2 linked regions of the Saccharomyces cerevisiae S288C genome follow. The protein of the gene in region 1 interacts with the protein of each later gene in a biochemical or structural test. Each region holds a gene or a part of one and is shown on either strand. Other genes may lie near its edges. The genes, in order: SAS4 and SAS5.

Region 1 (3,933 bases):
TCATGACTTGCTAAATTTGATATAAAACTAAAGGAACCAACAACTTACCTAGGTGTTCTTTTTTGTCCCCGTATAGTGAAGTAATTGGTGTTACGCCCAGTCCTGCAGTTTTAGCTTGGACCACAAAACATAATGCAAATCCAGTAGAGGTTATGCAAACTGTTTGGTGAGCATAGTAATACCACACCCGGTATAATTTATATCTCTTGTTCATTGTCTGTATATAAGGTGTATTCGCATATATTAAATAGCCAGACGTTTCCCTTCAAAGCATTTTGATCCTGGAAGAGAATAGCAGTAATTCTGTCTAGACTACAGTATAAAAATAAATAAAAATGGGCATCACAGAAACAAAAAGGACAATTGCATTAACTAGAAATTGTTTGATCGAACGCGTATCATTCACAGCGTATTTACTATGTGTCAATGATTTTTTGGATTTCGATTTGGAAATACTTGTAGGTAATGGCAAATCTGAGGTGTTACCATCAGGTCGTGTAAATACTCTGTTCATTATGGTTGCTACGCGATTATTAAAAGATTTTGGGAAAAAATGCATGTATGCGATAAAGGCAGCAGAGAATAATAATCCCCATAGGTACATTCTGATTGCCTTATAGGGATCTGGCATATAGCATAGCTCTGTTTGGTAAGTTTTTGATGCATACTCTCCGCCGGCATTTACCATTGTCAAATCTGAAGGATTATATAAGGAGAGCAATTGAATAGCAGGCCTACTGATCCCCATGTTCATTGCACATGACTTTACTGTAATTTCTTGAGCATTTTTAGTTTTCCCCTGAAACGGATATGAGTGTGATATCTGACAATGGTCATGATCATCCCCGGAAAATAATATTTCTGGTTGAATTTTCGTTAAAATTTCTTGTGATATATCGTTTTCTATAACTGTCTGGTACTGGTGCCCTTTCTGAATAGGAAAAGGTTCTTTGGATTCACGTAGCTGACCGCACGTTTGCTGTTCTGGATCCCTCCATAATGGAACGTGAGTTAAAAGAATTCTAGGAAGCGGATGTGAACCCATTGCAAAATTATCCAAAAACTGTCTAGGAACCCTCGAGACATTCGGATTTGTTTTATCAGAAAGCGAAATTGTATCTAAAAGTACAAAGGTATGATTTCCAGCGTCTAATGAGGAGGAAGTTTCTCCAAAGTAACTAGAAAATCTCTGTAAACTCGATTCAACAACTGTGTCTCCAAAACCAATATCGTGATTACCTGGTAAAGACATGACCGTTCTTCTCAGTGGCTTCTTGGGGAATATTTGGTTGAATCGTGTGTACTCTTTAATCCATTGCTTATCATCCCAGTTTCTCCCTCCATCAAATAGATCACCTAGGAAAAAATTGCTATCAGGATCCAAGTAATACTGGACATATTTCCAATTTCTCCTGTGATAATGGTCAACAATCACTCTTGTAAAATAATTAACTATTTGAGGCCTCCCAGGATATGAATATTCGTCCATTATTTGTGGGTCTGCAAATAAACCCACCCTATGACTTTCAGCGCCTTCAGGCCAATCCTCCCAAGTCGACCATTGGCACTTCTTCATTGCTCTCTTCACAACCACTGATTCATAATAAGATATTAATCCTAACCATAAGATCCATACAATAGATATGTATCTCCAGTAGATTCTTAACCTCTTCTTGCTCCTGCTTTTTGATTTCTTTTTCGAACGTGATTTATAGTGGGCCTTATCGTCGCTCTTCTTGCTGTGTGTAGATAAAACGCTCTTTGACCTGTTACGATATACCATACTTCCTAGAGCTTATTGTCTAATGTATCCAACAGATTAGTAGAAGCGGTACTGTTTTCCCTTTCTTTTTGGTTATTGTTGTTTCCATAATCGTTCGTTCTACATTTTTAAAAATAAGAAAATCTAACCCGCGAGTTGATTTCAGCGATCTCAAAACAAAAAGTAGCAAGATTAAAAAGGAAAACCGAAAATTTCTACAGCATTAAAAGCATATGAGAGTTCATCAATGGGTATTTTTCAATCAATAGAAGAAGCAAATAATACTTCTGAGAGATTGCTGAGGTCTGAGATTAAAAATAGTCATGGAGAATTTGAAAAATTCGATTTTGATACAGAAGAATACGAAATTAACCCTAAAAGGAAGTTAAGATTAGTCAGCAGGATAAACCCAAATGCTGGACATCTAAGGAAATCTAAGTCCTGCTTTACTGTAGATGAGCATGTTGACGAAACGCGTTGTCAGAAACCTGTGATGAAGTCGCCGTTCATGAGTAATGTCGATGATGAGATCAAGAAAAAGAGAGAGACAATTACAAAGATGACACTAGAAATTGAACATCATGAATTGAGCCAGAATATTAGAAAACCAACTGATGATTTGCTTCCTGATAGCACGTATCAGCCTTACCACAAGAAAATGTTGAAGCAAGAAAATAGAATGATTCAATCGGACATCGTAAATGGTGAAAATGAAGCAGACAGGCTTTCATTAATTTCAGACAGACTGGGTATGTTGAATTGGGAAGTAACATTACAGAAGGTTACTAAAATAAATGACCCCACTGACGAGAATGAAATGGAGACTAAACGTTACCAAACTAAAGAGCTGATTGATTCAATGTTACATAAATTTGAATCTATGAAAAAAAAAAGCCGCAATTTAGCTAGAAGGCCAGCCTCAAGTGATTCATTGTTGAAATTGGTTAGTGGCAAAGATTGGCCCAAGATATATACTCGAATCGATCGAACTTTTATTCCAGATTACGCAAGCTCCTCTGACGAAGAAGAAGAAAAAATAACCGTTGAGGAAATAAGGGAGAGACGCCTAAAGAAGAGAGAGCAGCAATGCGGTGGTTCCATTATAGTACTGCTGAGCGATCATCAATCACAAAAGGGAATGACACGGTTTGCTATCGTAGCTGAGCCGCTCCGAAAACCGTATTTGATTAAAACCTCCACTAAAGAGAGAAATTCATGGAAAAACAAAGTTCCCACAAATCCAAAAAAATTCAAGAAAGCTCCTCGAATATCAACGCAAATTGCTGTGAAAAGAAGAAGGGAAGTCATCCCGTTAACGATGGAGGTGGAACCAGAAGTCATTCGGGATATAAGGCAAGATACACAAAAGTCTATGAAACTGAATGTTAAAGCGGAGGAAATATCTGTGACAGAGACTGTCAAATCAAAAGAAATGAATGCCTTAAGGAACAATGCTGCATCTATAAGTCCAACTCTTTCAGAGAAGGCACCTTTAGGTTCAATTTCATCTTGCACTGCATCTCAGATTTCACAAAGGTCTTCTGAGAATGTGGGTGCTATTATTAACAATATCAACCCAAACTTAGCAATAGTGCCCTCTTGTAACGAAAAGACCTTTGTAAAAACACACAATGGAATGAAAACTAACTCAGGTATTAATATTTTGCCTGTCCGCAAGAAAAAAAAGGTTTAGTTTGAACTAATATAATGCGATGGTGTAAATGAAATTCAATATTTCATAGTTGCTTCTCAAAACCTGCGTGAAAAATCAGCATGGAAAATGCAAAATGATTATTAATACTATGTATATTTTAAGTGCAATATATTTACGTATCCTTCACGTGTTTTCTAAAATATGTAAGAAGCTTGCCATTTGATGAATACTGTTCAATATTCTCCAACTGTGCGGAAAACTTACTGATATCCGGCTTCTTTGCAGGGAGTTGTTTGTTCTTCAATTCTGATTCTTCTACAATATCTAATAAAAGCACATCATCCCTTAACCCGTATAAGTGCAGTAGATAAGTACCCAAATCCTGTAAGCTTAACTGTATTAAAATTATTCCACTGAGCTTTTCTTCTGATACGGATAGCGATGAAACATTGTCACCTATTTCATCCATGATAACCTCTTTTAATCTATCTGTAGTTAAATCAATGGTTTTGAGTAG
Region 2 (3,580 bases), on another chromosome or scaffold:
AGCTTTTACGTTAACGATAGTGATATTAATGCACTTCGTTTTTTCAAAGACGGGATGTCGATTGTTGCAGGAAGTGACAATGGTGCGATAAATATGTATGATTTAAGGTCGGACTGTTCTATTGCTACTTTTTCTCTTTTTCGAGGTTATGAAGAACGTACCCCTACCCCTACTTATATGGCAGCTAACATGGAGTACAATACCGCGCAATCGCCACAAACTTTAAAATCAACAAGCTCAAGCTATCTAGACAACCAAGGCGTTGTTTCTTTAGATTTTAGTGCATCTGGAAGATTGATGTACTCATGCTATACAGACATTGGTTGTGTTGTGTGGGATGTATTAAAAGGAGAGATTGTTGGAAAATTAGAAGGTCATGGTGGCAGAGTCACTGGTGTGCGCTCGAGTCCAGATGGGTTAGCTGTATGTACAGGTTCATGGGACTCAACCATGAAAATATGGTCTCCAGGTTATCAATAGCTTCGAATTGGAAATACTGTGAGCAGTAATTATCAATGGATGCTATTATATAAATATACATACCTACACCCATCCCATATTTACATAGAATAACAACAGTAACATTAGTTCTGTGGAAGCGCAAAAACGTCCTTTAATAAAGTAAGTCAAAACATTCAACAATGAAAATTCAAAGCATTGTCATTTGCTTCCTTTTTCTCTTTGGATAAACGAAACAAAAACGAACAAAAGTGTCATGCACTCAAAAATTCTTTTCAATCGTTTTGGAAACAGTATTATTCACTGACTTATTTGACCAACTTGCTAGAATCATCTATGTTTTCAGGCATTGTTTAATTTCATGATGGCTGTCCCTACTTTAGCTTGTTATGAGCCTTCACTGGCTCGTCCTTATGTATTGCGTCTGACCCAAAATTTGTCCTTTCTTGTTTAGTGGAATTTTTGTTCGGTAATTTCAAAAATGCCTGAATTTTCATTAACAAATCATCTGGTAGTTGTGTTATAAACATAAAAAACTGCTCCCTTCTGGGATGATTTTCAATTGCTCTCTGTACTGCAGGATCATTCAATATCATCTGAACCACGTCCGTCATCATATCCTCATCTATAAGCGCAAGGCTTTTAATCCAGGGCAAATCGGCTATACGAAGAGACATTTCTTCCTCCGGAGACACTACTTTCCACGGGAGATCAAAATATTTAGATAGTTCACTATTGAGATGTGAGAATTCATGAGGCACATCAACGGTATAGTCAACTGCATATGCATCATCTTCAAACGTTAAGTCATGTTCAATGCTAAACTTTCCAGCGTTACCTATAAAAAAGCATTCTATTTTTAAGTTAAACTCTCCCCAACCGGTTTCCTTGATAAAAAATGGCAGCGAGTTCAGTCGTCTTTTGGGCTGTTTGAAGCTAGAGTGCAAATGGTAGATGCATTTAGAGAGGATGGTAGGCTCCACTTCCTTTCCTGTTGCATCTAACATGAGGAGTTCCATCTGCCACCGACGTAAGGGAAGTTCATTTCCCCGGATGTTTTGTTCCGGTATTATAACCTGTTGTGTTTTTACTCTGAAAGTGACTTCTATTGAATGATCCATAAAAGAGCGTCTATTATATGGCACCAAAAAAAAAAAAAAGGGCTTTTGGAGTCAAGAGTAAAAACAATTTAGTCTGTAGAAAAACTTGAGTTGCTGCACTTCCTCTTCACCCGAACATGGCTGTTCTAGTTTGTTGTCGTGCAACTCTCTAATGGTGATGACTTATTGATGTGGCTTTGATTTTTTCTTGCCCGTGTAACGCGACCGCGCCAGCTGTAAACGTCACTAAATAATACCATTAATTGGTCATTTGCTTATATGTTATATAAATGCTTTCTCTATCAAAACTTTGATTATATGACTGCCGAACTTTAAGGGTGAAGTAACAAGTACAGACCAAATAGAAAAGATAAGATTCCCATCGACGGCATTAAGGAGGATGATGAATTTTCGTATCCCCCAATAGTTGTAATATTTCCCGGGGTGATTGTTGGGAAAATCTCAACGCTGGTAACACCCGTGGATAAAGCTAAACTTGTCGTACTAGATAAATAAGAAATGGTGCTCGTTAATGTTGCAGTACTTGTCGGCATTTCACTATTATTGATGATGCTCATATTAGTTACTAAAATATCTTCATACGCGTAAATTTTCGGTTTCGGAATCTCTTCAAATACCTCGTCTGCCCCGACTTTCTTCTGTATGCTGTCTTCCATAATTTCATGTAGAATACTTTCAATTTGAGAAAACTTTTTGTGCTCCACTATTGTTAGAGGATCTTCCAACAGAAAATCTATAACAGATTTGGAAGCAAGGACCGTATCGGTATGTTCTTGAGAATCAACAGCTCGCGGCTCCTCCGGTAAATCTGCTAATACTAAGTATGGATTAAACTCCATTTGATTTAGCAGAGCTGGTGGTAATGAGTTTTTATCCAAATGGAAAACTAAAGGACCAGGTTCATTTTGTCCTGTTTCATCTTCTTCATACTCATCTGATGTAAAAGTAATTGAGTATTTGGTAGCAAACACTTGTGCCATAAAAAAGGCGAAGAAAAGGGAGGATAGATATAATCCTAACATTTCAATAAGGATCAAAAAAGAGAATGGGATACAAAACTTTACTTTCCTTCCTTTCGTGCTAGTTACTGGCTTGGTGTTGTTCTTTAGTTATGTGTAGCAATGTTAGCTGCTGGTTTTTTGTCTTGGATAACTACAAATACTTTCAGGAAAAGAATAATTTATACATTATACAAAAGCGGCCTCTTTTATAAACAAAGGGCAAATGACAGTTAGCAAGACATATCATGGTTGCCATGGGACACAAAAACGTAGCCACAAAAAAAAAAAAAAAGGTGAAAGGAAGCGAGCATTAATTTTTTATTTTAATATGTAACTGTGATATGTATTAACAAAGTATCTTTCATAATTTTTGACGAATATTTTTACTTCTTTTTTACTATTGAAGGTTGGGCTGTGATTCATCGCGCAGAAAACAAGGACCTCATTTGAAAATTTCCTTGAATTGCTTAACAATGCTATTTTTGATGGCAGTTGGAGATGTCTTCCATTCTGTTGGCAATGACTTCCAGTCGATTTCTCCCATGATTTCCTTAATTTGAACTTTTTTTTCACCTGCCTTTGTTTTGAGGGCGTCCAGTAATTTCTTCACATTTTGATCAATATCAAGCTCTGAAGACACTGGCAATTGGTCCATATATTTCTTTATAATGTCCATTTCACCTTGCTCTTTGGCCACCAGATCGTCCCTCTTGTTAGCAAGGAACTCATTGATCGAGTCCTTTCTTTGAGATATTAACTTGGAGTACATGTCGTACAGGGAGTACTCATCAGCGCTCTTCCCTTTTAAAGCAATTTCTTTGTTTTTTATGGCAGATAACATATTTCTGATTGCTGTCTTCTTCATCTCATCCTTGGCAATCATAGCCTTTTTCAAATCTCCTTTCAATAGGCTGACTGCAGCCGTGTAGGCTGGAGAACTGTTATAACGAATGAAGGTTAGTCTATTTGAAACAAGTGGCCTAATTGATTGTCTGAACA

The links.
Region 2: the proteins of SAS4 (region 1) and SAS5 form a complex in vitro, tested with the Saccharomyces cerevisiae proteins (2 studies listed by BioGRID).

Annotation. Positions count from the first base shown.
Region 1 is NC_001136.10:825,432-829,364, reverse strand, and holds SAS4 (Sas4p), read left to right. Parts: upstream 1-2,009; coding exon 2,010-3,455; downstream 3,456-3,933. Other genes in the region: YDR182W-A (uncharacterized protein), read right to left, coding at 11-214; putative lipid phosphatase CDC1, read right to left, coding at 308-1,783; cohesin-loading factor complex subunit SCC2, read right to left, coding at 3,589-3,933.
Region 2 is NC_001147.6:743,702-747,281, forward strand, and holds SAS5 (Sas5p), read right to left. Parts: upstream 1,581-3,580; coding exon 834-1,580; downstream 1-833. Other genes in the region: STE4 (G protein subunit beta), read left to right, coding at 1-480; SPR2 (Spr2p), read right to left, coding at 1,892-2,602; AIM41 (Aim41p), read right to left, coding at 3,024-3,580. UniProt on the Saccharomyces cerevisiae protein: Component of the SAS complex, a multiprotein complex that acetylates 'Lys-16' of histone H4 and 'Lys-14' of histone H3. The SAS complex is however unable to acetylate nucleosomal histones.